Mus musculus: one gene and its partners. The protein of the gene in region 3 binds, or shares a complex with, the protein of the main gene of each other region. Links are inferred from orthologs where the notes say so. Each region holds a gene or a part of one and is shown on either strand. Other genes may lie near its edges.

Region 1 (10,823 bases), on a different chromosome or scaffold from region 3:
GACCCACCATACATAGTAGACGACGTTTCATTTTGATAGTATAGGCACATCAAATATATCCTAATTTACAAGCAGTAATTTAATAAGGTCATGCAATTATTATTTTGTATTTTTCAGTCTATACATATAAACTGAATCCCCTACTTGATAGTATAAGAGCAGTTATGAGTCTGACAAAATTGGCTCAATTATAAATACCCTGTTCTCCCCAAAGGCTTCATGTTTTAGCTTTCAAAAGCATTATTTCTTTTTACTGTATTTGAAAAAAATGTACATTTTATTATTGATGTATCTGAGACAGGAGTGGCTAATATTACTGATTGAACACTAATGAGCAAGGAGATGTTCACACTCTTATAAAACTGGACTGAATGCCATAAAGATTTCGAAACACTTAAGGCTATTCTTTAGGAGAACGGGCACCTGCCAGCACAGGAGACCCCGGTTTCAATCCCTACAGTACAAGAGGAAGGGAGAACGCGGAGGTTGGCCATACCTTGTCTTCTTGACCTGAATGCTGCTGCTCAGCTTCTCCAGCACATACTCTCCAGTGTCGTGGTTAATAATGAGCACACAGTCTTTCTGATAGGGCCGCTTGTTCCCTTTGAACACCGTCATTGGCGGCGTGGACCCCTGTTTGCCACAAAAGTATAAGATAAATACACCAATTACGAACGGTCCCCTAATCCATCATCAGACCTGCGCAGAAGGGGCAGATGACTGATCTCTGTCTGACTCCCCCAGCTTTCCAGGCAAAAGAAAGGAGCAGTTATAGTAAGCACCTGGTTTTAGGGATTCAAGAAATAGAACATAAAAACTTTAAGCTACTAGGCAACTCTTTACTAATGTGGGCAAATAGTTCAAAGAACAGCAATGCCCAAACTGAGGACAATTCACCTTGCCCTACACTACACAGAGCTATTACTAACTGGTTAGAGGAGGGAGTGATCTTTGTATTTCTTTGTAATGGAAGAGCCCAGGGCTTCCCCTTCATGCAAATAACCCAGGCAGCTTTCTCCAAGGGTGGCCAGCCCTTCAGCTGAGTGAGTGGAGCCCATGTTACTTAGCCATCACCCCAAGCCTTTCAATGGCTCCCATGCTGCTCGCAAGGCAAAGGATAATGAATTTAAGGCAGGGCCTGACCCCACCACCCATCTCTGGGCTCTGAGGTCTTTAGGAAGTAAGAGGCTCTTTTTCCTGCTTCAGGGCTGAAACTGGCCTTCTGCCTGCTATATTTTGACACTATGTAAATTACTCGATCTTCTGTTAAGTTCAAATAACTCTTCTCTGGTTTTCCACAAGTGTTTATTTTGGTTTGGTTTTGAAACAGGGTCTCACGTAGCCCATGCTAGCCTTATACTCTCAACCACCTTGCTTCCACCTCTCAAAGGCTAGGATTACAGGAAAGCATCGTATCCAGCAGCTACTATATATTCCTATATTTAAATTCCAGACCCTAAGCTGCACAACATCAGGAAATGTACTCATTTGGTTTAAAGTTAATTCTTAGAGCCCACTAATGGGCTCCTACACTGGACACTGATTTAATATTTGTTAAATATAAGATTTAACTTGTTGTTCAGAATTTATAGAAGCACAAAACAAAACAACAGCAAACTAAATTGCTTGGCTCTTCAGCCCCTTAACTGCACAGTAGAAACTTAAGTCTGAAGGGTGCATAGGGACCATGTACCTAACCCCTTCATTTTTCACTTGGGAAACTCAGGTCCAATGGGAGATGATGTAATCTTCCATGGGCAACATGTAATGAAACAGGAGTTCAGATGAAAAGGCTGTTCCCTCTGCTCCAGGGCTTCCAGGTTTGCTGCAGTCTGCACTCTGTCACCAGTTACAGAACTTGCTGTGTCTGAGGACAGAGCCGTGACACGTACTAAGGAGCTTTTCTAGTCTAACTGTTTTCTGTTTATTTCTTCTGTGTGTGTGTGCATGTACACGTGTTTTCTCGTGTTTTCTGTGTGTGGGCAGAAATAGGTACAGGTGCATGTGTGTATCTACATGCACCTAAAAGCCCAAAGCTGACATCAGGCTCCCTCCTCAATCACTCTCCACTTTTCTTTTTTGAGGCAGGTTCTTTTGCTCAATCCAACTAAGTCTAGCTAGACAGCTTGCCCAGGGGATACCATGTCCTTATCTGTGACTGTGGGCTCACAGCAGCTGCCATGTCTGCCATGGTTTTTACATGGGTTCTGAGGCACCCAAACTCCAGTCCTCCTGCTTGAGTACTTCATTTCCTCAAGCCATCTCCCCAGCCCAAGGTGTCGTGAACGCAAACACAGGTCTCCCTTCTGTTTTCCTTTGGCTGAACTGGGAATTGACCCTAAGACCTCATGCGTGCAAGGCAAGACCTCTATCACTGAGCTACCACCCCAGACTCACAGTGCTGCCCTGAAGAGAGCCTTACAGTACAAAGTCTTTTCTTCCAAGTCTTTGGTGCAGCTTTTAACTGAGTTCTTCACCCCTAAATTAGCTGAGTGTTCCAAACTTTGGTTCCTGCCTAGGACCATCAGCCTGCACCGGATCCCTTACTAAATATAGAGATGTCACTCTGGCTCCTGGCCTGCCTTCTGGCTGTTCTATGTTCAGGAGCTGCTATTGCTATGCAGGGCACATAGGGCCCTTTTCTCCAGAACTGCTTGGGATAAGTGTTATATATGTCTAGCAAAGGGGCCACTGTCTAGACGGAACCTTGCCTACTATACTATATATTGGACAGAGATGGGGAGTAAAGACTAGAGACAAAGAACTACCTAAACCAAGTCCCAAGACGCATGAGTAAGAACCCATCTGACTCCTAAATTCCTTTTTTACTTACGTTAGCTCTCTAAACATTTAAAATAAATAAATAAATAAATAAATAAATAGAAGGAAATTTGAACTGTAAATAAAACACAAGGTCGTTACATTAGATCAACATTGGAAACAACTTACAGGGATGTGTGGCAGCGTAATGGTGACTTCATCTCCTTTGCCAACCTGGAGTTCTCCTTCACAGGAAGTGTCTATTGATGCTGGCTTAAAATCGTCTAAAAGGAAACAATGGATATTTCCCACTGGGTGGCTGAAAATGAAGACTTCTTGGGCATTTTAATTTCAGATTAAATAAAAGCAGTTGAGAATGCCTTTATGTGCCTGTATATGCACAGGTACATGTGTACAAATATCTGCAGGTACCTATGGAAGACAGCTTTAGATAATCTCTTAAGTACTATTTGTCTTGGTTTTTTTGACCAGGGTCTCTCATTAGCCTGGAACTCACTGAACAGGCAAGGCCAGCTGGCCGGTGGGTCCCCAGTAATCCTTCTGTCTCAATATTTCTGGCACTGAGATAGGAACTGTTTATCCTGTGGCTCCTTTATGTGGATTCCAACCCGGATATTCATATTTTCATATCAAGTACTTCACAGACTGAACCAACTCCCCAGCCCTCTCATTTACAATTCTAAAAGACTTTGTCATAGAAAACTTCATATGCTTCATTCACGGTAATAATGAGCCCCAAATGCTCTCACCCAATAGTTATCAACTCAGAAACACCTCTATATACGCTGCCTTCAACTATACCATCATTTAGTACAGGGAGCTGAAACTTATATACTCTCTGAAACTTACACTCTCTTATGTTAATGTAAGACAATCCCTTCTTCCAAGTGTCAGGCACACAATTAACATCTCACCATCCATAATAAGGTAATACCAGAACTGTGTATATAAAAACTGTGTGTATAAAAGCAACACAGCAAACATTCTTTTTTTGGGGGGGGGGGGAGGAGGGTTCGAGACAGGGATTTCTCTGTATAGCCCTGGCTGTCCTGGAACTCATAGACCAGGCTGACCTCGAACTTAGAAATCTGCCTGCCTCTGCCTCCCAAGTGCTGGGATGGCGTGCAACACCTCTGCCTGCTTTCAGCAGACATTCTTAACTATAAATCCTACATAAGACACAGCAGGCCACATGAGGTTGGCCTCTTTTTGCACAGAAATGTTCTAAAATAGAACATGCCACATTCAAGTTCTCATTTTGGTGGGGGAAAAAAGTCTGGCTATGTTCAGAAGCAGACTGGCGAACTCCAGAAATTACCCTGCTTATTCTTGCAAATTACACTTACACAATAGGAACAGCCATTTTACTTCGCACCTGACTCAAACTGCAGGCCAGGAGCACATGTGCAGAATTGCACTTAAACTTACACTGCTCTTCTGTGGAGGAACAAATTAGTCAACTGGGAAATGACAATCTTATCGTTTCCCCAGTACTGTCTCTCTGCAACAGCTGAGTCTGCTGTGGGTGCAAAGCACAGATGCAGCTATGTGACAAGAGGCCACACAGAGATGGGACTTTAATATCTAACACACCCCCCTGCCTGTGTGTTGAGTCACATCGATTAGCTCCCATGACAAAGCAGGTCTTAACCCACACTAACGCTACCGGAAACCCGACGCCTGTGATTCACAGGGATGTGCTTGGTTTGGTCAGCCATGTCCTGACTCAGGACACACAGTGGCAATACCCCTTTCAGAGTCTATAATCACGTAGGAAAGGGCCCAACATAATGACTCTTTCCACATTCCTTATGCTGCCTTCTTCATTTTCCAAACATAGATCAGGCTTTAATTTATGCCAGATGCACAAACTCTAATTTTATTCTTCACCCACAAGTGAGTTGGCCCAGAAGTTAAGGTGAAGTAGGTGACATTAATCTAGCTAGGTATGGTGGATCAGGTCCATATTTTCAGCACCACAGAAGCTGAGGTAGGAGGACTGCAGCATGTTCAGCGCTGGCCTGAATTATATAGTAATTTCTAGGCCAGCATCACTAGTAAGACTGTCTCGAACAGCAACAACAACAAAATCAGTGTCATAAGCAGAGAGGAAGAAGAAACCTTATGGGTGGCACGAAGAATGCAGGTTCCCTGGCTGTGGAGGAGACCAAGAGCAAGGGGAAAGGAGCAAGGGAAGGAATGAAGTAAACGACACTCGTAGCAAACGGAAGACTTTTCCAGGGCAAGAGCCCTGATGGAAGAATTCGACAAAGAGAACGGGGACACAAGGGAGGAGAAATGGGCATCGCTACTAAAGGAGAAAAGTTTGGCTTAAGGGCTGGGAAGGGGAATTTGAAATAAAGGGGCTATGACTTTCTGAAGTGGTATTTGAGACTGTAAAGTAAAAGAATAGTTGGCAGCAATCAGAGGTTTGGTTTGGGAGAAGAGATTTCAAAGTAAAAGAGCAGATCGAAGTTCCAGAGGCTAAGGGATGAGAGGTAAGGAAAGCGACGCTTTCGAGCCGGGATTAGCCAGGGGAGTCTGGGCTTGCACGTGGCGGCCAGGGAGCCCCAAGTGAACCTGGAGGGGCGCTCACTCACAGCGAATCGTGTGGAAGGAGGCCCGCGGCCGCTTCTCGAAGCTTTCCCCTAGCCGCAGACAGTGTTCCTCCCGGTCCAGCAGCGGGTTCGCCGTGCCGTTCATGGCCTTGCACTTGCCCGGCACCCGGATTGGAGCTCTCCTCGCGCGGCCGCAGTCCCCCCGGATCCCCGCGCAAGCGGCCCGCAGGACCGCGCTCCCGGGACACCGCTCCGGAGCGCGCACTGAACCAAGTCCGCGCCCACCCGGGGCCGGAAACCAATCTACTCCGCGTCTCGAGAGACTCTGCGGAAGTAAGGCCGCTGCACTTCCGGCATTGGGGAGGGACTTCCGTCTCCCCAACGGAAATAGCGGGGGCAGTGCCATGGAGAGAGAGTTCTCCGGGACTGCTGCAGCCCACAGTTTTCTGGTCTAAGGAGGAGCCCAGGTCAGCTAGAAGATTCTGCTGCCGACGCCTGGGCTTGACTGACGGGTGAGTGCGCCCTGACCTGTTCTTTGCTGGGGACCCTGGGAGCTCAGAGCGTGGGGAACTGAGTGGACGCGAGTTTGAATGTAGGTATGAGTGTCCCTGGACATGCCCGAGACCCTAGCGGCCTGCTTTATCCGAGGGTTCAGAGAGCGATGACGGTTCTCGGGACCTCAGTCACCCTTCCCCCTACTTCGCTCCATGGTTGCGATGAGAGGATTTCAGTTCTCCTGGCCGACGACGCTTCCTTCAGTTTATGGGTACGATCAGAAACCCCGGCCTCTCCGGATCAGCTCCGTCACCTCCTTAGCCCCCCCGCGATCCCGTGTCTGTTAGGCAATCGTCTACCCGCTTTCGGTTAGGGCGGTTGTTGCCGTTGTTTTGAAGTCACGTTTCCCACGGGCACTGAACGTTGATGAGAATTTTTTTTTCTCACATTTTCTCAGTCAACTCGTGGATGCGTCCCTTTGCCCTAAGTAAACCTATTTCTTGTAGTACTTGGCTCATCTGATTTGAATTGGGAGTCCGGTCCGTGAGAGTTCTGGTCTCTGAGTGTAGTAAGCTCTATGCAGTAGAGACTGTCTTGGTCTTTATGACCTCTCCAGACCCCGGCAGGGTGTTGGGCAGAGTCAGCATCTCGGGAGTGTTAAGTGAATTGACCCCGGAGCCTTAAAGAGCCCTCCGGGAACCTCTCCCCGAGTCTTGGACTCGTTTAGAATCCAAGCTCTAGAAATAATAAAGAACGATCTAGCTTGATGAGGCCCTGGTCACCCGAGTTGGGAGGATGAGGCAAGAGGAAGTACATTCAAGGGACAGGCTGGGCTTCAGGGACAGCCCCTGGCTCAGATGAACAGGATGGGGAGAGAAGCAGGCAGGTTGTTAGAGAATCACTAGTCAGAATCAATCAGTCAACCCCCTCCCCCCCTTTCTCTTTCCTAAGTAGCATCGTATCCTGTTGGAGCTGGAAAGTCACCTGGGGAAACTGCATCAGAGAAACTCCAGTGTCTACAATCTCAGCATCGTTTGTTCAGATGGTTGAAGAACAGAGGACCTATAGCAGCATTGAATGTGTTTCCGGCAACTACAATGGCTTCTTTCCAAAGGAAAGGACTGCAAGCAAGGATTCTTAGCACTGAAGAAGAGGAGAAACTGAAAAGAGACCAAGCTTTGGTGTCTGCTTTTAAACAGCAAAAACTGGAAAAAGAGGCTCAGAAGAACTGGGACCTTTTTTATAAAAGAAACAGTACCAATTTTTTCAAGGACAGACACTGGACCACCAGAGAGTTTGAGGAGTTGAGATCATGTAGGGAGGTAGGCTGGGGTTTCTCCTGGCTCGAGCCATCTTCATTTATGATGCCTAGAAGAGAGGTCCTTTGTTACATGTAGAGAGTGCTCCCAGATGGCACCCTTAGGTGCCGTTTCTCAGGAGCTGTCTTGTTTTTTGAAACAGGGTCTCTCAGTAGACTTGGGGCACACAGATTAGCTTGGGCTAGATAGCCAGTAATCCCCAGGGAGCCTTCCTAGAATGAGATTCCAACTGTGCGGCACCACGTCCAGTTTTTTACCTGAGTGCTAGTGGTTGTGTGGCAAGCACTTTACTGACTGAGCTACCCTAAAGAAAATTAGGACGTCTGTCAGAATGTACCTATGGAGAGTTCTGATTTGTTTCAAGTATGTTTAGCAATGTCTGGGCTGTTTAATAGAAAACAGAGCTTTAAGGTTTTCTTTTTAGATTTGTTTATTTTATTATGCATATGGGTGTTTTGCTTGCATGTATATCTATGTACCATATGCATGTCTAGTGTCTGTGGAAGTCAGAAGAGGGTGTCAGGGCCACCAGAACTGGAATTACAGGCAGTTGTAGGTGGCCATATGAATGCAGGGAATTGAACATGTGTTCTCCTAACCACTGAGCCGTCTCTCCAGCCCCCTAATGCTTTCTGCTTAGTTAAAGCTGATGTGAAGGTTAGAAATAGTAAATATTCAGACTACACTTTAGTGACAGATTGAAGCTGCTTGGTAGTTAATGAACATTTGCTGTACTGTTTTCTAAGAATTTTGCATCTGTTCCCTTAGTTAAGCTTCATAGCAACTCTCTGAAGTGCATTCGTGTTGTTCCTGTTTGCAGGAAAAACGATTGAGGCACAGAGCTATAGAAGTGAGTTGCCCGAGGATGGAATCCAGGGGCAAAAGAGGAGTTGGGATTTGAGGAGGAGGTTAGCCCAGAGTGTATGCACTGTGCTGTGGCTGCCTTATTTTTCACACTGAACTAACTGCCCATTGTCGAATGATTATAAATGAGGTGCCAGTGTTTAACTTTTTCTCACTAGCTCTGTTGTTTAGTATCTGCCTCTTGAGGTCAGAGACATCTCGTGCCTACTGAACATTTTAGCTTGGTATGTTTATTATGCAAACGCAATGTGTTATAACTTCTGTGTTCTCATTCCTCAGTATGAAGGTCAAAAATTGACTTTGTTGGAGGCTGGCTGTGGGGTTGGGAACTGTTTATTCCCACTTTTAGAAGAAGACTTGAATCTCTTTGCCTATGCCTGTGATTTTTCTCCAAGGGCAGTTGACTACGTGAAGGTTGGTGCACCGTATATGTATTCCGCTGCTTGTTTCCTTATGCCTTTGTCTAGTCGTGTCCTCATCCAGGAGCTCACCAGCCATGAGCACCACGGAAGCCGTTTTCTGTTGCCTGTGCACGTGAAAATATTTGATTCAAAGCAAAGCAGAGATACTACTAAACAGTCTCTGTGCTTGATTCATATGGCTTACTTTGTAGGTTGGTGTCTGATTGCGTGCCCTTTTAAGATAGGTTACTGTGACCAGGATTGTATACATGCTTCACAAAACTCACAGGCACAGTCCTCTGTGATGAGTAATGGAGGAAACAGAATCCCTTAGAAAGAAGGATGTGGCTGTGCAGTGGTGGTGCACACCTTTAATCCCAGCACTTGGGAGGCAGAGGCAAGCAGATTTCTGAGTTCCAGGCCAGCCTGGTCTATGGAGTGAGTTCCAGGACAGGCAGGGCTACACAGAGAAACCCTGTCTCAACCCCCCCCCCCCCAAAAAATAGAGATGTGAATGTTTACGTTTTAATAGATAATGCTACATTTCCTTTCAAAAGACCATGCCGGTTTTTAGTTTTACCAATAATTGTTTCCTCGGGTTTATTTTTCTTTTCTTTCACCAATCTAAGAAAAAAAAGTCTGAGCATTTTATTTTTCTCATTACTAGAGATATTGAAGACTAAAATTCGTAAATACACATACCTTTTTTTTTCTACCATTACCTCCTTTCTTCTCCGTGTGTTTAGTGAGAGCTTACTGTGTGCTAGTTGTAAGAATTAATCTGTGCATAACTTTTGCCTATTTTTCTGTTCTTATTTTAGAATATAGTAAGGATGTTTGTTAATCATGCATATGTTACAAGCATCTCTTTTTTTCCTTTTCAATATTATTAATTGTAGCCCTTTTCTAATGCAGGATTTAATTATGTCTTGTTGTTGTTGTTATTGTTGTTGAGATAGCCCAAGCTGAGGCAGGTTAAACTGTTGATCCTCTTGCCTCAGCCTTCCTGAGTCCTGGAATTATATGTGTGCACCACCATTCCTAGCTCATATCAAATTTATTAGCATTTTACTTTTGAGGTAACAGGCTTCATGTGTAAGAATTCTTTACGCCTGGCACTTAGATAATCATTTATTGTTTCCATTGCCCTGTTTTTAGTGATCTATTTATTTTTATTTTATGTACATTTATGTTCTGCCTGCTTGTGTGTGTGTGAGAGGGCCCAATCCCCTAGAACTGCAGTTAGAGTTGTGAGCTCTCATGTGGGTGCTGGGGATTGGACTCAGATCTTTGGAAAAGCAGACGGTGCTCGTAACCACCGAGCCAACTCTTTTGCATTTGCATCTGTACCATTTTAGTTTTCTTTTAGAGTTTAGAGATTTATCTATTTTGGGTTTATGAGACAGGGTTTCTCTGTGTAGCCCTGGCTGTCCTGGAACTCACTCTGTAGATCAGGCTGGTCTCGAACTCAGAAATCCACCTGCCTTTGCCTCCCGAGTGCTGGGATTAAAGGCGTGCGCCACCACCACCCAGCTATTTTTCTATTTTTAATTATGTATAGTGTGTATGTGCCTGCATGTGCGTATAAACACGGCACACCTGCAGAGGTCAGAAGTTGCAGATCCCCGGTAGCTGGAGTTATCGGCAGCTGCCTGATATGGTTAGTGGAAGTCGGGTCCTCTGAGAAAGCAGCCTTTACTGCTGAGCCATCTCTCCAGCCCCTAGTGTTCTTTTTAAAAAACATTGTTTGTCTGTTTTTTTTTTTTTTTTTTTAAAGATTTATTTATTATTTTATGTAAATACACTGTAGCTGTCTTCAGACACTCCAGAAGAGGGAGTCAGATCTTGTTACGGATGGTTGTGAGCCACCATGTGGTTGCTGGGATTTGAACTCTGGACCTTCGGAAGAGCAGTCAGTGCTCTTACCCACTGAGCCATCTCACCAGCCCCGTTTGTCTGTTTTTATATTGTGTGTGAATATACATGTATGTGGGCATGCACGTGTCGTTACACATGTGTGGAAGTCAGAGGGCAACATGCTAAAGTTGATTCTCTCTATGGTGTGGGTTCTGGGGATAGACTTAGATAGTGAGACTTAGCAACAAGTACCTTTACCCACTGAGTCATCTCCCTAGCCCCAGTGTCTATACCATTTTGATAATTATTATTTTAAATGCCTAAGCTCTTAGTCTCTCATTCGATGCCATATTTGAGTTGGGCTCTGATACTGGGCCTTCTTTCTTCAGACTTTTTTTTTTCACTTCTTGGTGTCCCTTATATGCTTTTTGTTTAAGTTGCACATAGTATAGGACAGTAGATACCGAAGTTCATACGGATTTGTAACCAAGGGTTGGGTATTATATGATACACTTACTCTTATTCTACCAGACACTTAAAACTCCTTT
Region 2 (10,324 bases), on a different chromosome or scaffold from region 3:
TATTACACGTCACAGGTAAGCCTTAGTGAGCCAGTGATTAATGTAAATGTGAGTGGTCTAAACCAATTAGTTGAAATGGAGAAAATTTATTTTTTTTTACCAAAAAAATACAACTGTGTGTTGTTTATAAGAAATTAATGAAATGGGCAGCTTTCAAGTGAAAGGATAGAAGAATACACCATGTAAGCATTTAAAGCACACGTGGCTGTATTAATATCAGATACAAAACAAAATAGCACAAAGAAGTACATTAGTAACAACTAAAGGGTTCATTTAGCAGGAAGACAATGTGACTAGCGATGGAACTGCAAACTTATGAGATAAAACTGATATGATGAAAACAGAAATATAAAAATCAATAATCCTTAGTGACTTACTTCCTCAGTGTGCTCTGGGTAACAGGCAACACACACGCACACACACACGCGCGCGCACACACACACACACCACATGTCAACTAAATACAACAAAAAAATGAACCTTTTTTCCTCAAGTGTCTGCTTAATGAGCACTCAACAACATAAACCATGCCGTGGGCTATAAGAAAAATCTTGATTCATTTATTTAAAACAAAATCATAAAAACCTTGTACTCTGACCATAACAAAACACCCTAAAAGTCAATAGCAGGTGACACTAAACAAATCTTTAAACACTTGGAAATTTACCTACTTTTAAATGGTCCATGGGTTAAAGAAAAAAGAGAGAATAAAAGGAAATGAGAAACACAGAAAGTGGACATGATGCATCCAAAGCAGTGGCGGGGGGGGGGGGGATCTGTGAGACTCTAAATGCTTGAATTAGAGAAGGAGAAAGGTGTCATACTGAAGTTCCAATGCCCAGAAAAAGAAAATAATAAACCCAAAAAGGCAAAAAGAAAGAAATAATAAAAATAAATGAAACTGAAAGCAGTAGAGAATGTCAGTGAAACAAAGAGTTTATCAATACATATACACAATTGATAAACCTCTATTCAAAAACAAAAATGAGGGCTGCAAAGATGGCTCAGTGGTTAAGAGCACTGGTTGCCCTTCCAGTGGTCTTGAGTTCAATTCTCAGCAGCCACATGATGGCTCACAATCATCTCAATGAAATCTGATTCCCCCTTCTGGTATGCAGCTGTACATGCAGATAAACATTAAATAAATAAAACTTTAAAACAAAATAAAACAAAATAAGAAAAGATATGAATCATTAATATTGGGAATTTAATGACCATGTCTATAATCAGTAGTGGATCCAGTGGCCATTAAAAAGATACAGAAGAATATTACAGCTATGTCAGGGAGCACCAAGGAAGAAGGGAAAGAATGTAAGAGCCAAACAATAGGGATAGGGAAGACAGCATGCTGTAGGGTAGTGACATGCTGTCTGTGGTTCTTGTGAACTCACAACGGTTGTAGCTGCCTACAAGGGCATGTGCAAGACAGACATACAATAAGCGTTCAGTCATGTATGAGGAATTCATAGGCTACCGGAGGAGAGGGCATTGTCTTCAGTGATTGTCATTGATGACCTGCTCATCTTCAAGTGGGTAGCTTCACACCCATGCCCATGAGAGTAGATCTAGTTAAACCCTGGTAGGTCACAAAGCAAAAACAAAACCCAAAAGACATGAGTCATCAAAGCTTTCTCTAGACCAGCTGGAAAAAGAATGAAGTCCATAGGTATGACACTGCACAGTGCATACTAAGGACTAAGGAAAAAAACTAATAATGCATTTTGTATTTTTACACTTTTAAATTTTTCATTATTTATTATATATTTATTATACATATCAAATTAAATTTAGATATTATTTGTGCCCTGTTTTTGAGACTTTACTTATTATGCTAATGAGTATATTGCATATACATTCATATATATGTATAAAACTGGTACCACATACATGCAGTACCCTTGGAGGCCAGAAGAGGGCATCATATCCCCTGGGTCATGGATGTTGTGAACCACCACGCGGGTGCTGGGAATCACTCTCTAGTCCTCCGGAAGAACAGCTAGTGCTCTTAATAGCTGAGCTTCTCCCTCTTTTTGAGGAAAAGTCTCACTGTATAGCTCTTTGAACTTGATATTCTCCAGTCTCAGCCTCCTGAATGCTAGGATTACAAATTATGATGCCATACCCAACTGGTTACCTATGCTTTTAGTCTCATACTCCTGTTATTAAAATCCAGCTTGGTGCCAAAGGAGGGGCTTTTAATTTATTTTTTTTTATTTTAATTAAAACATATCTCGCTTTCCTTTCGTACCTGCAAAAACTCCTATATATACCCTTTTCCATTCTCCTTTAAGTTCATGGCCTCTTTTGTTCACTAATTGCTATTGCATGCATATATTATTATTACATATTATATATAATATATAATAATATATTATATTATATATAGTATAATATAATATATTATATTGCATGCATATATGCATGTAAATACATATACATTACCAAATATAACCTGTTTAGTCCACATATTGCTGTGTGCTTGTCTGTCTGCCTGCCTGTCTGTCTGTCTGTCTGTCTGTGTGTTTCTGCATGTTTTCAGGGCTGATCATTTAGCACTGGACAGCCAATTGGTGTGCTCTTCCCTGGGGAAGAGTATTTCTCTTGTTCTCAGCTTCCCTCAGTTGGCTAATAGCTTTTTGTGTAGAGTTGAGGCTTCATAGGTTTTTCGATATCCGGTTTGGTATGCTCATTTGTATCATCCTTGTTTAGGTAACGCTTGGGCAATAGACTCTGTGGGTATAGCTTCTGATGTCAGCAGGAGACACAATCTCACAGCCAACTCCCTGATCTATTTGTAACATTGTAAGATCTGGGAGTCATACAATCTTTTCGTTCCCTCCTCCCAAATGTTTCCTGAGCCTTGGGTGCAGATAGGTTTTGTAGGTATATCTGTTGGGACTGGGCTCTACAACTCAGAATTTTGATTGGTTGTGGTTTTCTGTTTTGCTCTCTGTCTATTGCAAAAAGAAATTTCCTGGATGGAGGGACGAAGACTACACTTATCTGTGGCTGTAAGGACAAATGTTTATAGAGTGTTATTATTAGGGATAATTCTGGTCTTTTAGTAAATTAGTGGTTGTAGATTCTCCCCTAATAACCATGACTTCACTAACACTGAGAAGTTACCTAAGTTTCTGGTACCTAGTATAATCTTTCTGGCTGTGTGAGTCATGAGTCTGCTGGTTACCACCAAGGTGTATGTACCACTACTACTATGTTGTGTTATTGTGACAATTGATGGGGTCCATGGGCACGATAGCTGGGTGAGACAGTTGGTTGCCTCTCTCCATTGAAGCTTCCAAATGTCACCTTCTGGTACCATGAAAGGTAATCCTCAAGGAGAGGGCTTGTGGGTCAGTTCCAGCAAAAGGGTCTCTGCACCCTGTTATTGAAATACATGGTGTCTTTAGCGATAGGGACCCACCTTCCACCTGTGGTGATAACCAAGGGCAACAGCAGCAGGCTGGATGTTTAGAAAGTTTCTTGGACAGTGCACTACAGGAATTTCTAAAATAAATGGTTTAGATGCTGGAATATGTGTTTTAGTTTTATTTATTCCTTATCTTAAAAACCTAATGCATTTATGTTATTGTGTTTCTTCTTGTTATTTATTTGACTTTATTATTTCTATTTTCAGAACTGAAAGCAGAAGCTAGTCTTATGGACCAGATGAGTAGTTGTGATAGTTCATCAGATTCCAAAAGTTCTTCATCTTCAAGTAGTGAGGATAGTTCTAGTGATTCTGAAGATGATGACCAATTCTCTCCTTTGGGTCCAAGGAAATACAGCTCGGAGCACCCTAGCATGTCTGCTGGGCCACAGTACAGGACTTCAGAGGCTGATGCTACTTGTCACCGACTTCAGGACCACAGTACCCTTCTGATGAGTACTTTACGTAAGTATGCATAGCCATAAGAACTAAAACAGGACTTGCATTGTAGCCATGTTTATTGTGCACTAAAATTTAAAGAAGAATCTTAATTTATGTATTTTGTAATCATTAGCCAATTTTTTTCTCCTTTGCAAGTTTAAAATGTACTCTGTCACTGGAGTGAGGGCTCCTCGAAGCTTTTCCATGGGCCCTTTTCTTTTTATTCTATCTTCTTCTTTTTCTTAGATAACCTCCTCATGCTCCTGTTTCTATCTATTTATCTATCTATCTATCTATCTATCTATCTATCTACCCATCTATCTATCTAGAGAGAACTTTCAAATACCAATCTCCATGCAGACCTCTGAGTCCTGGGCAGATAGGTCTAGCTTCACCTCTTAGTAAAAGGCACTTCAAATACTGTACAAATGCTGTACAAAAAACAACACTATATTTTTTGGCTCACTGTCTATTTGCCTAGTGAATGGCAGCGTTTGTGTCATTATGTAAACCAGAAGCCTGATTGTATTCCAGGATTGAGTTACTCTCTTACCTTTTTGTATACTCAATATTTCATCAAGTCCTTTTGACTTCTACTTCCTAAATATCTTTTAAATCCATCTACTTCTTTTTATCTTTATGACTACCACTGTAGTTCAGCTCATTTTCTTGATTTCCCCAACCATCAATACCAGGACTTCCTCCCAACTTCATGTTCTCCCTTTCCCTTAACTGCTATGTCCACTTGATGTTGCCAGTATGTGTATGAACATCACTGTAGGTCCATTCACTGAAACAAGGTCAATCTTCTAGGGCTGCATCTCTGAAGATAGCTGAACTTTCCTTCCATAGAAGCCTCCAACTGCCAATAGCTCTTCATCTTAGGGTGGAGTTTTGTGAGGTCCTTGCACATTCATGTTGAAGTTTTGACTGGCTTGATCTTAGGCAAGTCTTGTGTATATACAGTCAAGGAAATTTTCATCAACTATGTATATTATTAGCGATAATGATCTTTTAGTGATTATAATTTAATTTATCACCTCTCTTGATTTATACTTTTCAAAGTTTGCAATTCCTTTTACAATAGAGAGTAGACCTTAACAAAATTATATTGCTTTATTTACTATTTATTTTCTTAGTGTGGCTGTTTGAATATGTATGATCCAGGGACTGGCACTGTTTGGTGGTATGGCCTTGTTGGCGTAGATGTGGCTTTGTTGGATTGGGTGTGTTACTGTGGGCATGGGCTTTAATACCCTTGTACTAGCTGCCTGGAAGCTAGTTTTCTGTTTGCTTTTGGAACAAGATGTAGAACTCTCAGCTCCTGCACCATGCCTGCCTGGACACTGTCATGCTCCCACCTTGATGATAATGCACTGAACCTCTGAACCTGTTAGCCCGCCCCAATTGTAGTTCATTCCATTCATGAAGAACATTTTGAAGAAGCAAAGCAGACTTAGAAAGGAAAAATATAAAATGTGTGGCTCAAGTAATAAACGGGCACCAGGAAGTGAAATGGAGCTGAATCCTGTGTTCAAGGAGGTAAACAGATTAAGGGAGTGGTGACTTCTGGCAAGATTCCACCCAGCTAAACTTGTTATTTATGCATTTACCATTGAACAAGGAATAGTTATATCATGTTAGCCACTATTATTACTTGGTTATTGTTTTCACTTGGACTTTTAATCTGGAATGAACTACAATTCAGAAATGAAAGACACAGGCTTTTGACCTGAATCTTGAGGCATAGCGGCCATGAAAAGCTTAGGTTCAGGTAAGGTGGTATGCGACTTTAATTCCAGTAGACAGAGGCAAGCCGTTCTCTGAGTTCAAGGTCAGCCTGGGATACAGAAGATTCTAAGTAGAGAAAAGTTAGAAAGAAAAAAAGAAAGAAAGAAAGAAAGAAAGAAAGAAAGAAAGAAAGAAAGAAAGAAAGAAAGAAAGAACCACACCTTTAATCCTAGTATTTAGGAGATAGGCATGCAGATCTCTGAGTTCAAGGTCAATCTACAGAGCAAGTTCCAGAACAGCTAAGCTTAGGAAGTGAAAGAATTAGAAAACAGAAAGCTGGTGATGATGTAATAGAAGAAGGGCACATGTTCCAGCCCCACTAAGCAGCAGAACTCAGCAGCTTTGTCCGTGTGACTCTCCCTGTAGAGTCAAAAATAGAAGAGATTCCTGGGACAATTGATGCTGATTTTCTGGAACTAATAAATTAGCAGTGATTAAGAAGAGACCAGTATCGATTGCAAGCTTGTACAACCACTCTGGAAATCAGTCTCGTGGTTCCTCAGAAAATTTGACATAGTACTACTGGAAGATCCAGCAATACCTCTCCTGGATATATATCCAGAAGATGATCCAACTGGTAATAAGAACACATGTTCCACTATGTTCATAGCAGCCTTATTTATAATAGCCAGAAGCTGGAAAGAACCCAGATGTCCCTCAACAGAGAAATGGATACAGAAAATGTGGTACATTTACACAATGTAGTACTACTCAGCAATTAAAAACAATGAATTTATGAAATTCCTAGGCAAGTGGATGGATCAGGAGGGTATCATCCTGAGTGAGGTAACCCAATCAAAAAAAAAACTCACATGATATGCACTTACTGATAAGTGGATATTAGCCCAGAAACTTAGAATAACCAAGATAAAATTTGCAAAACACATGAAACTCAAGAAGAAAGAAGACCAATGTGTGGACACTTTGCCCTTTCTTAGAATTGGGAACAAAACACCCCTGGAAGGAGTTACAGAGACAAAGTTTGGAGCTGCGACAAAAGGATGGACCATCCAGAGACTGCCCCACCCAGGAATCCATCCCATAATCAACCACCAAATGCAGACACTATTGCATATGCCAGCAAGATTTTGCTGAAAGGACCCTGATATAGCTGTCTCTTGTGAGGCTATGCCAGTGCCTAGCAAACACAGAAGTGGATGCTCACAGTCATCTATTGGATGGAACACAGGGCCCCCAATGGAGGAGCTAGAGAAAGTACCCAAGGAGCTGAAGGGGTCTGCAACCCCATAGGTGGAACAACAATATGAACTAACCAGTACCCCCAGAGCTCCTGTCTCTAGCTGCATATGTAGCAGAAGATGGCCTAGTTAGCTATCATTGGGAAGAGAGGTCCCTTGGTCTTGCAAACTTTATATGCCTCAGTACAGGGGAACACCAGGGCCAAGAAGTGGGAGTGGTTAGGTAGGGGAATAGGAGTGAGTAGGTAGGAGAGGAGGGTATAGGGGACTCTCAGGTTAGCATTTGAAATGTAAATGAAGAAAATACCTAATTAAAAAAAATTGGAAAAAAAAAAAGAAGAAGAAGAAGAGACCAGTATCACTGAAGTGAAATCTGGGAAGTATTTTCTGAGAGCACAAAGAAGCTGTGTTTCAGAGATAGCCAAGGTTGAACCTCATGCTGCATCTGGACTTGATAATGTGTAAAATCACCCAGATGGTACTAGTTTTAAAGGTATGGAGAGCAGCTGAGGCTTGGCACTGTAAGAAGCCTTCGAAGGCCATTGGTGAAGGTGCAGTCTCAGTTGTAGTTGATGGCCCAGGACTGAAGGGGTCATGCAAAAAAGCTGAGGCTTGTCACCATGAAGAGAGCCTATGAGTTGCTATTGATAAAGTCTAGTTGCAGAGGAAGACCACAGTATGTTGGAGATGCCAGTACCATAGGATGATCACCAAGAACAGCAGGATCAGTGGAGTGGAGTCAGCCAGAGCCTAGAGTGCTACAGAGGGCAGAGCTGGAGATGTGACCCAAGCCTTTTGGAGGAACCCAGGAGATCAGTTTAGCTTAACTAGCAAATTCTAGGGCCTGAAGAACAACAACCAAGACTGTGTTCTGACTTCTTGACACATGCAAGCACACACACACACACACACACACACACACACACACACACACACACACACACAAAGTGTTTGGTACAAGCTAAAGACATAGCTCACTTAGGAAGGAGCTTGGAATACTTTAGTTCAATCCTTAGAACCCATGTTTAGAAAAAACAAGAACAAAACCTGAGTAGGGTGAGGCAGAGACAAGGGAATCCCTAGAGCTTGCTGGCCAGCCAGATAAACCCACTTAGTGAGTTCCACGATAGTGAGAGATCTTGTCTCCAAAGCATTGGCGGATAGCACTCAGGAACAATGCCTGAAACTGTCCTTGGCTTCCACATGCACTCAAATGTGCACATGAACACAAACAAAGTTTCTTGATAAGATGCAGGGAAATTATACTTTCTGTGGGAAGCTAGACAATGTATGGTGAGGGCAAGTGAAGATGGGAAAGAGTACTAGATACTTGGATGTTCTTCAGTTAGTAAAAGGAGGCTAGGGGGAAAAGCAACCACTTACACCATTCCTGTGGCTCTGTTTCAGAAGCCATAGTTTATACAGCATTGTTACTCATTGACTCCTTGAAGGACCTACCATATCTCCAAGAGATAGCAATCTTCAAAGGTGATTGTAAAACTTGTTTCTGGTAAATGGGGCAGAATCACAAGATCCTGCAAAGAGTGTTATAAAGGCGAGAGAGAGAGAGAGAGAGAGACAGACAGACAGACAGACAGACAGACAGACAAAGAGACAGACAAAGAGACAGAGAGAGGAACTTCCTCCTCAAAATGGACAAATATAATTCTGAAATAAAGAAAAAACCCATGTGATCCTAGGAAGATATATGAAGGCATAGCCTTTTAGAAGACAAAGTCTTATTATGTAACTCTGGCTGGCCTGGAACTTACTCTGTAGACCAAGCTGGCTATGTATAGCAAAACAAAGGAAAGCAGAAATAAAACAAAATCCAATATATTATAAATAAGAATCAAGTACTTTGAGAGAAGAGTGCTTGCATGCCATACACAAGACCCAGAGTCTGAGCTCCCGTACTTAAAAACATTATCATCAGTGCAATGGCTCAGTGGGTAGAGATGCTTGCCACCAAACTTCCTGAGTGGAGTTCAATCTCCAGAGCTCACGTGGGAGTGGGAGAGAAGGGACACCAACAGCCCGTCCTCTGGCTTCCACACGTGTGCGCAGACAGGAAGGTTCGTGTTTAAAGATTAAATTTGGAGGAACAAGTCCTAGGAATGTTCTGAAAAAGATCAATAAGTAGGCAAGACTGACAAGGGTGAGAAGTAAATTAGTGAGATGGAAGGTGCTGTCCCAGAACACAGGGTAAAATAAAAACTAAGAGAGAAGGAGAATAGATGGAAAAGATGAAACACTGAATAATGGGAATTCCCAGAAAGAATAGAAGGGATGATGTGAAAACTTAACCTTTAGAATTTTCCAGTACTGAAGACTGCCATGAATCTACTGCAGATGCTAAAATAGGCAAACGAAAATAATAAAGATACACCTTAACACTTAAACCACGGCATGCCAGGGAGGAAGTGATACTTGTGCTGGCATGCCTGGGTCAGAACTGAGAAAAGACTCAGCTTCTCTCCTGCTTCCATGTTTCCTCTACACCATTACAGTGTAGTTACTGGTATAGTCAGGTTCAACTTAGTTCCTGTTAAAACTGTTCAGTGCTTTCTCATTGTGTTCAAACAGTCTTTACTGAGACTTCCTCTCTACTTTTTCTGGCCTCATTCCCCATCTTTGTCTCCCTCATTTCTCCCACTCTGGCCACCGTTGCCTCTCTATAAGGAAAAAAAATCCTATAACCCCCACTCGTGTTTTGTCAGCTAATGGAGACTAAGAGAGGGAAAATGAGCTTTCTTCAGAAGTGTGACCCAAGCTTCAGCAGGTGGCTCTACACCCTGGTACCTTCAGGCAGAGCTAAATGGAGCCAGTGGGCTATTTTTAAAAAAGAGTAGAATGAAGAAGAGAAAGAAGATATGCAGTTTAGAGAAAGATGTCGTGTCAGGGAGAGAGGGTCCAGGAAGAGTTAGCTGCAGGGGTGAGTTGGAAGTACATGTGATGTAAATACATTGCATTCATGTGTGAAATTACCAAAAAATATGTAATAAAAAGAATCACAGCCACTCTACACTTGCCTTAGAGCATTTACACTTATCTTAGATGAGACACTGCCTCCATTGTTTAATGACTTTCTGTTCAAACGTTGCCTCTCATTAAGCTTTCCCAGCTATAGTACATACAATAGTACCTCCTGCTCCTCTCTCCATAGTCCCCCAGGACTTACTCCTACTTGACATTAGACTAGATATGTGTTTCCTGTCATTCTGCTCCACTGAAATGCTGCCTCCATGACTAACCATACAAATGACTTACAAAAGCCCTTGGTGCCTAGATAGTCTTTATGATACTGGGAATTGAACACAGGGTCCTGGGCCTGGTAGTCAGGCATCCTACCACTGAGTGACATCTGGTCTAAGGGTTCTTGACATCTCTTCCATAATGGTTTGGATTGCATCTGAAGGTAAAAACACACTATAAACTTTACACTCTTGAAAATGATAGTCTG
Region 3 (9,075 bases):
TGGGCGTGGCTCAGTGGTAGAGCACTTACCCGGTTCTGGGTTCAATCTCTAGCAAAGGGCTGAATTCCTTGAATACTTCAGGGGAGATATTCTGAAACAGAACAGCTCTATTAGTTTGTCTTCATGCCACTGAGCATTTGAAACCTGCTGGTAGCCACAAAGACTTTTCTAAGTTCTCGCTATAGCGGGTTGAATAATGTCCTCTCCAATCATGCCCTAAGCACGTGGCCTTACGGGGAGACAGTCTCCGCAGACATAACTGATTAAGATGGGATTATCCCGGGCAGTAAACCCAACGACAGATATCCTCACAGATACATACACAGAAGATGCTGACGGATGGTTTCCAGGACCAAGATTGCTGTGTAAGTGATGGCGCACACCTGTAACCCTAGCTCCCTAAATAAAGGAGGAAGCAGGGAGACCTGCAGTTCTGGACATCCTAGTCTACATGACAGCTTTGTCTCAAAATAAAGGGCTGAGAGATGGCTGCATGGTTAAAAGTTCTAGCTGCAAATCCAGAGGATCCTGGTTCAATTCCCAGCACATACACGGCAGCAGCGCACAACCACCTTTAACTCCAGTTCCAGGGAATCAGCCCTCTTCTGGCCTCCCTGGGTACCAGGAATACATAAGAGCATAAACATGCAAGGAAAAAAGAAAATACAAAATCACAGGCCAAGTACTGTATCAGCTCCCAGAGCTAGCTAGCGGACTAAAACTGTCCTTTTCAGGCAGCTCTGTGAGAAGACTCCAGGAAACTCTTGGGGAATCTACCGCCTAGGTCAGTGCCCTAAGGGTCCCTACCCTGCATCCTTAGGACCATCCCATCTCCACACTGGCCTTCCATCCTGCCCTCACCCCAACCCATGCCACCTGACCCCACTCTGGCCACTTCTGTCCTGCTTCCCCCAAGCCCTGGAGCTACAGGCTACACTTGTCACTCCATGACTGTAAGGCTGCAGTGCCCTGCTTATGAGTCCAGTCTGAGGATTTAGGAGCCAAAGCAGCCCGGGTCCAGCAGCTCACTCCAGCTCAGCTTACAGCACTTGCCAACACCAAGCACAGGACACTGGCACCGTGGACACGCCTTCAGCGGGGGTGAAGAGCGCAGTGGAAGGTACCCAGGAGGAGAAGAGGGCAAACCCTGAACGTCTCCAGAGTGTTGGGTGGTACAGAAGAACTGGCAGTGTCCTGGCTGACCAAACCCTAGCTTCTAGCTGAGACAAGAGCTGAGGGAAGGTCTGAACACAGGAAACGCAGCCATTTACTGGAAAAAAATAACCAACTTTTAATTTAACCAATCAAACTGCGTCCAGGAATGTCTCTAAACTTAACAAAACAAAATAAAATTCTCCTTTTAAAGGAACCAGGAGTTCACACAGCCCCACGCCCCTAAGGTCCAGACCAAAAGTAGCCCATTTTGGAGGCGCCTCTGTCCCTCAAACTCTCATCCAGAGGAAGAGCTGGCGATGGCGAGGGACCTGTGCCTTCCTCCCACCATGCAAGTAGTTCTTAGAAAGTCACAGTGGGTGAGCCTCTCCCACCTCACTTTGTGTCCACGCTGAGACCTCCAGAGAGGGGCAGGCAGGATAGCTCCACCCCAGCCCACTCAGGCAGCTGTTCCCAGTGCCAGGGTGGGAGTTAATATGTACTGGAGGAGAAAATCTCAAATGTCCCATCATGTCACATGTTCCATGCAAAGGAAGCAATCCACTCCTAACCTAAGAACAACACCGGCCAGTTCCGGCCTCAGAAGACACGTTCAAATTCCGTCTGGTTGGTGGTGGCGGGATTTCTGCTCTGGTTGGTGGACTGCTGGGTGATCTGGCTGCCCTTCCGCCGTGGCGGTGCCAGGTACTCAAACATAGACGTCAAGTGAGTAGACAGCATGCCCTTGAGGTCCGAGGGCATGGGGTCCGACCAGAAGAAGTCGTGGTTGAGGGCATCGTCACTGTCAATCCGCTGCGCGGGGTCCAGCACCAGCAGCTTGTCAATGAGGTCCAGAGCATAGGGGTCGCGCACGTAGGCCTTCAGACGGTCCTTCACCTTCCGCTTCTGGCCCTTCACAAGTTCCAGCTTTTCAAACAGCTCATACTTGTCTACGTTTGGCCACACCTAAGAGAGGCGTTGAGGAGAGAACGGAGTTGGAGTAAGACTGCTATCTGAGATGCCAGGGGAGTGGGTTTCTAAAACAATTTCTCTCAGAGGTTCCCTGAGCTCCCCTCCATCGCAGAGATCATGTCTTCAAGTTAAAAGCACCAGTCACCAGATGGAGCACACCCCTAGTGCCCGAACACAAGTCAGCTGCGATAAATGTGCCAGCCCCCATCCAGGCACATTCCCATTTTACAAACAAAAAATAAACAAAACAAACAAACAAAAAACCACACGAGCTGGGCAGTGGTAGCGCACACCTTTAATCCCAGCACTTGGGAGGCAGAGGCAGGCGGATTCCTGAGTTCGAGGTCAGCCTGGTCTACATTGAGTTCCAGGACAGCCAGGGCTATACAGAAACCCTGTCTCGAACGAAATACCAAGAAAAAAAACCCCAATAAAACAAAACAAAACAAAAAAACCAAGAAACTCTGTCTCTAGAAGCTTGTGCTGATGCTTGGTCTCCAGCAGGTGGCGCTATTGGGAGGTGGCAGAAACTTCTGGGAGGAGAGGGGACCACCCAAAGGGGAAGGAACCATGAGGCCTGCTGAATGTGTGCTGAAGCCTCTGGGGTTGAGTGGGCCACCACTGGAGCTACACACTGGACCCTGCTCTTCTGCTCCCTCCCTGCCATGGCCACACCCTCTCTCCAGTGGACTCTCTACTATGACATTTAGCAGCATCTCTGCACCAAAGCAAAGGCTAAACAACCTCTCTGTTTTTCTGAACAAAAGCAACTCTTGGCGCTTTTGTTTTTCTCATGTACTTACTTTGTCTCGGCAACAGAGAGCTCATACAACCAACATTAAGAGTGGTAAGCACCATGCCAGGCGTGGTGGCACACGCCTTTAATCCCAGCACTTGGGAGGCAGAGGCAGGTAGATTTCTGAGTTCGAGGCCAGCCTGGCCTACAGAGTGAGTTCCAGGACAGCCAGGGCTACGCAGAGAAACCCTGTCTCAAAAAACCAAACCAAACCAAACCAAACCAAAAACCCAAACAAACAAACAAACAAACAAACTGAACAGTAAGCCTGGCCTGCAGCAATCAGCTTCCTCTACAGAAGGACTCCACTCTCCACTACTGGCCAGAGGCCCTGGGTCTCTGCATCCCCCAGGAACACCCAGTTCGGTTACTCACCTCTGGGGTGATGGAGCCACAGAGCTGGCTGATGAGGGCGAGCTGGTGCTGCTCTGTGTTACCCTGCATGATAGGGCTACGAGTCCACATCTCTGCCATGATGCACCCAGCACCCCAAAGGTCAATGGGCGGGCCGTAGTCCCGCTCTCCTGAGAAGAAGAGGGTACCGGGAGTGCCTCTTAAGCCCAAGGGCCTCCTGAGACTCCACGTCCCAGAGCTGATGGCTCAAAAGGCCCCAGGCAATGGGGGCTGTGGCCAGGTAGGCACCCGGCCCCTGCCCCCCTCTGCCCGCTCGGGAGTCCTCACCGAGCAGCAGCTCCGGAGGCCGGTACCACAATGTCACCACACGGTTGGTGTATCGGTTGGGCTGGCTATTCTTAGCTAGGCTGAAGGCACGGGCCAGCCCAAAATCTGCCAGCTTCAGGACCCCATCCCGGGTAATGAGCACATTCGCAGCCTTCATGTCCCTGTGCAGGATCTGAAGGGAGGACACACAAGAGCTCAGTCAGGTTTCATAGCATCCTGGAGCCTGGCCTACACAGCAGTCAAGAGCAGAGAAGCCCCATTCTGCCCCACCTTGTTCCTGTGGATGTAGTAGAGGCCGTTCAGCAGCATCTGCATCACTCTCTTGATCTCAGACAACGTGAACTTGACTAAGACGTTGCTCAGCAGCCCAGCAAGGTCATGCTCACAGAAGTCAAACACCAGATAGATGCTGCCCTTGCAGCGGTTATACGGTGAGGCTGATACAGAAGGGGCAGAGAGAAAAATAAAAAATAAAAACCTGCATCCACCTCATTTTCCACAGCCAACTCCCAGCCCTCCAACCCACAGACACCCAACTCCAAACAAGACCAGAGAAGATGGGGGGCCGGCACTCGGGAGGCAGAGGCAGGTGGACCTCTAAGTGTGAGGCCAGCCTGGTCTATGGCGCAAGGTCCAGGACAGCCAGGGTTACACAGAGAAACCTTGTCTCAAACCCCCCTTTTCTCCTGAGGCAAGCAACACACCTTTGGTCCGACAAATCTCAATTAGGTTCACCACATTCTCATGTTTTAGGAGCTGTAGAATCTTGATTTCCCTCAAGGCTGTGATGGGGAACTAGGGAGGAGAAAGAGGAAGTGGTCAAAATTGAGAGCACAACAGACGGAGGAACTGTGGGTGGGGTGGGGGTGTGTTTGGGGTCTATACTGAGGGACAGAGGTTGAAAGACAGGCGAGAGAATCGTTCCTGTGTGATGGTTCCTATCTGGAATCCAATTCTCGTATCAGGAGACAGAGACATCAGAACCACCAAGTTCAAGGCCAGACTGCTTAGTTGAGCTCCTGATTCAAAAAGAAGGGAGAGGGGAAGATATATCTATATTTATCTGTAGCTAGCCTTTGCAAAATATAAAATAAGTGCAAACACACACATATCTCAAGGAGCTGCTAAATGTTGCCATCTAGATAATGGTGGCCTTGAACTTGTTTATGAACCATCTTTTTTCCCCAGTCTCATAAGTGCTGGGATTATAATCACAACCCTTTACTCCAGACTGGGAATTTATTTTAGACAACCCAAATAAGGATAAACATTTTGTCACTAACACTTGTGAGTTAAGATCAAGAAATTTGTGGGGCAGTGGTGGCGCACGCCTTTAATCCCAGCACTTGGGAGGCAGAGGCAGGTGGATTTCTGAGTTCAAGGCCAGCCTAGTCTACAAAGTGAGTTCCAGGTCAGCCAGGGCTACACAGAGAAACCCTGTCTCAAAAAAACCAAAAAGATCAAGAAATTTCCTGGGAATGGAGATAGTTGAATGGTTAAGGAAACTGGCTATGGTCACGTGTGGCAGTCCAGCCCTTTATTTCCAGCAGTCAGGAAACACAGGCAGTTGATCCTCTGTGAGTCTGAGAACAGCCTGGACCAAACAGTGAGTTCCAGGACAGTTGGGGCTACAGAGAGATTTTGTGTCAAACAAAACATAGAGTCCCTGTTTCAGGGAAACACACACACCACAGCACTGGCTATCCTCCCCCAGGACCCAGGTTCAATTCCCAGCACCCACACAGTGGATCTTTTGTCCCAAATGATCCAAGGCAACCTGGCACACCTTTCTGGCTTCCTCAGGTACCCAGGTACTGGAGAATAGTGCTGTACACAGACATGCCAGAAAACAGAAGACCCTATAGACGCAAAGTAAGACAAACAGCATTTTCCTTACAAAGGCAATGCTGCTGAGGCTGATGGAAACAACACCTTTCAGAACATCACCTTAAGCTCAGCGGCCTTTTAAACGGCTTGTGCACAAATGGTCTCTTCATACAAAACAAAATTCAACGCCAAGCTAAGCTGAAAGTTTTCTAGAGTCAACCTGCACTCCATGGGAAAAGCACAGGCTCCCTCCCGTGGCTCCCACAGAACTCTGCCACTAAAGCTCAACAGTGTAAATGGAAAGCCAAATTCCTTGTTCCATGGAAAACCGAAAAACACTAGGTCGAATCTCAGCACAAAACCCTTTGAAGTAGCGGTGTGGAAACCCAGCCAGGTTAGAAGAAGGTCGGCCCAGTGGTCCATATACTCACCCCCTCCTTCTCATTCTCCATCAACACTTTCTTCAGAGCCACCTTCTGGCCCGTCTGACGGTGCTTGGCTTTAAAGACTTCCCTGCAGGCACAGAGAAAGACCCAAGGGACCCATAAGGCATTTCCGCAGGGAGTGCCCCTCCCCCGCGCGAAGGGGAGCAGCAGGAGCCCAGACCCACGGCGGGCGGGGTGCGGCCTCGGATCCGGGACGCGGTCATTCCACACCGCGTGTCTTCCGTCCTCCTCCCGGCCTCTGCTTACTCCTACTCAGCCCCTACTCCTCCCCTAGAGGTGGCCGCTCACATTCGGAGTGGCTCTCAGCAACCCTACCCAACCCCCATCACGGGCCCCAGGCTCCTCCCCGCCAGTCGGCTCGGTTGGGCCGGGAACGTCTGCGCCGCGGCCGAGCAAGACCGGGCAACAGCCACGAAAACAGAAGCTTCCGGACCACCTCGGCCCGGGCTCTGGGCGACCCGACGTCGGCCCTGGAAAGTGCAGGTCCCGGGCTCGCGGTCCCACGCGGCCTAATCTTACCCGAATGTGCCTTGGCCGATCTTGGCAAGTTTCTCGTACTTGGTGACCTCATCGCAGAACGGGCATTCCACCGAGTCGTACTGCTTGGCCATGGCCACCTCCAGCGCGCCTCCGCCGCCGCCGCCGCCGCCGCCCCCAGCCGCAGCTCCCGCCGCTCCCGGTCCCGCCACACTCCAGGCCCCTCCGCGGCCGCGCCACTTCCGCCTCCACGGCCACTTCCGGCCTCGAGGTGCCGAGCCCGCCTCTTCCGGTCTCCGCCCGCCGCCAGGCCCCCTGGGACTTGTAGTTCCCGGGAGGCCAGGGGGAGCCGGAGCTGCAGAGGAGCCTCCGCCGCCGCCACTGCCCCCGCCTCCGCCGCCGCCGCCAGCGCTGTTGGCGGCCCCGATCGGGGGCGCAGGAAGCCGTGGCGCTGGGGCTGGGGCTCGCGGCGGTGCGTCCCGCTGCATTGGCCCGGGCCGTGCTGCTGCCGAAGCTGCTGCCGCTCTGGCTCCCGATCCGGGGCCAGCCGCAGTGCCCTGCTCCTCCTCCTCCGACGGCGCCGCCTCCGCCGGGCTGCGCGGGGCGGCGGGTGGTGGTGGGGGGAAGGCCTGGGGGCGGAGGCTCCCTGGCCAAGCCCGGCCCGGGGCGGCAGGGCAAGGGGGCGAGATAGGCAGAGCAGACGAGGAGGCGGCCCGAAAGCCCGGGAGGGGGCGCGTTATAAAGGGGGAGGTGCCCGTCCTGGCCTCCCCTCCCCCTCCGCCCACCCCCTCCCTCCTCCTCCCACCCTTCGCAGCCGCACCTGCCGCCGCCGCCTCCCGCCCTCCCGCTCCCAGTCCAGCGTCCGCCCTCGGCGCGTCACTGCTCGCAGCCCCTCCTCTGCCTTTGGAGGTGGGGCTCCGCACTAGACACCTGCCTGCGGCTCCCTCCTGCGTGCCTCAGTTTATCCCCCGAATGCCAGCTGCTACAGAATGGCCCTTCTTCCAGGACCGGGAGTGTGCTCCCGGTGAGGCGAAGGCAGGAGGTGCCGTGGGAGCGGCCTTGAGGCCAGGGGAAGAGAGAACTGCCCCCGCTGCCGCCTCCGTCGTCTCAGCCACCCGCCGTTGACATGGCAACTGACGGCCGCCAGGGGGCGCGGCGACACTGTGGGCGGTGAGCGATCAACGCTCAGGCCTAAACCCTTGGATCTTGTGTTGTCAGGATGGATCTACTACAACCTTCCTTCACAGAGCCGCGCCAAAGCTGGTCTGTCCAGAGTCAATCATCCCCAAAACTGTTAACATTGAGCCGGCACTCCTGATGCTTTTGAAATGGGCGTGAGCCGGGCCTTGATGGCGCACGCCTTTAATCCCAGCACTTGGCAGAGGCAGATGGATTTCTGAGTTCCAGGCCAGCCTGGTCTACAGAGCCAGTTCCAGGACAGCCAGGAAAAACAACAATAACACAGAGAGACAGAGAGGAGAGTCTGAAGTCTGTTCTGTCTTCCTCTACTGTCTTGAAATTCTGAGCTGATCATGGCCGATTTTTCCAGCGTTTACCTCCTGGTCTGTGGTCCTACAAGCTCCCTTCTGTTTCAGTTTCCCAATCCCTCCTGTCTTCAGAGTTGCCACCCCACTCTCCAGGGTCAGCTGCAGGCTTCCCGTTTGCTTCCCCCTCTTGTTTGATGGAGACAAGTCGTGGCTGGTCTGGTGCTCACACAGTAGTCTAGGCTGACCTTTGAACTCCAGGCATCCCTCCCAACTCACCGTATCACTGTGTCCAGCAGTGCTTTCCAGGTTTATCCCACATTGTCTGGGCTTGAAGATTCTTGGAAGGAGGACTGGTTTCGGGGACCCTGGAGCCCCAGAGTACCTACTATGAGAAGGGTCCTGGCAGCAAGATTTTTCAAGACCCTCCATAGAGCCAGGGCTTTAAAGGAGATCAAGCCATATGACCCAGAGCCTACCTTCCTGGATACACTGCTTACCTGAAACAAGAAGTGGTGGTGGGGGGATGCCACCAGGGGTAAGGAGAGAGTACGTGCATTAATTATGATGACAGGATGTGGCTAAGTCCTCCCTTTAGCCCTGCACAGGAGTTATTTCTATTATCAGTTATTCACGGAGCACTGCTCTTCCCTCCACTGTACATAACGACCCTGACACTCAGAGGTGAGATGACTGGGCCATGGTCACACTGCCAGTCAGTGGCCACACTAGCTTTGAACCAGGTAAGTTTGGCATAAACTCCCAACAGTCCTCCTATGTCAAGGCCCCTCCCAATCTGGGCTCAGCATGAAAGCGTGACAAAACTTGGGAGTGATCTCACCTGGCACTCACTGCCCCCGGGGGTGTGTGTGAGGAGTAGTGGGGGGGGGGTGAGGAGGTGTGGCAGGTAACAGTAGCACTGAGGGCCGAGGACTTTGCAGGGCTTATGTGGAGTTTTAAGCCGTAGCTGGTGCCTGTTTCTCATGAGCCCTCCCTAAGTCACATCCTGTGGGCAGAGAGGCTTTAGCAGGGTTTCCTGTGATGTTGTCACCTCTGGCCCCAACCAGAGCCCTGACATCTTCCAGTCACTTCCTCAGAGTCATGGGCCCTCAGCTCTCCACAGGGAAGCAGTGGTGGTCTGGAGGCTTTGTAAGGCTGCCCAGTTCTGAAGTCCGGGTTCTCCACCACTGGTAAATCCAGGAGGGGACTAGAGAGGGGGACTAGCCTTTCGAATCCACTT

What was found.
Region 1: Cdk9 (region 3) and Eaf1 share a complex: the UniProt entries of both Homo sapiens proteins name them as parts of the super elongation complex. The link is inferred for Mus musculus from reciprocal best matches to the Homo sapiens genes CDK9 and EAF1.
Region 2: Cdk9 (region 3) and Eaf2 share a complex: the UniProt entries of both Homo sapiens proteins name them as parts of the super elongation complex. The link is inferred for Mus musculus from reciprocal best matches to the Homo sapiens genes CDK9 and EAF2.

What each region holds. Positions count from the first base shown.
Region 1 is NC_000080.6:31,489,930-31,500,752, reverse strand, and holds the start of Eaf1 (ELL-associated factor 1), read right to left. Parts: upstream 5,675-10,823; 5' UTR 5,485-5,674; coding exon 5,382-5,484; intron 3,045-5,381; coding exon 2,950-3,044; intron 634-2,949; coding exon 497-633; intron 1-496. Other genes in the region: tRNA N(3)-methylcytidine methyltransferase METTL6, read left to right, coding at 6,102-6,105, 6,786-7,156, 8,297-8,431. UniProt on the Homo sapiens protein: Acts as a transcriptional transactivator of ELL and ELL2 elongation activities.
Region 2 is NC_000082.6:36,794,158-36,804,481, reverse strand, and holds part of Eaf2 (ELL-associated factor 2), read left to right. Parts: intron 1-3,637; coding exon 3,638-3,895; intron 3,896-10,324. UniProt on the Homo sapiens protein: Acts as a transcriptional transactivator of TCEA1 elongation activity. Acts as a transcriptional transactivator of ELL and ELL2 elongation activities. Potent inducer of apoptosis in prostatic and non-prostatic cell lines.
Region 3 is NC_000068.7:32,706,172-32,715,246, forward strand, and holds the start of Cdk9 (cyclin-dependent kinase 9), read right to left. Parts: upstream 6,614-9,075; 5' UTR 6,486-6,613; coding exon 6,394-6,485; intron 5,942-6,393; coding exon 5,860-5,941; intron 4,621-5,859; exon of another isoform or gene 4,397-4,620; coding exon 4,306-4,396; intron 4,039-4,305; coding exon 3,872-4,038; intron 3,774-3,871; coding exon 3,602-3,773; intron 3,445-3,601; coding exon 3,296-3,444; intron 2,119-3,295; coding exon 1,753-2,118; 3' UTR 1-1,752. UniProt on the Homo sapiens protein: Protein kinase involved in the regulation of transcription.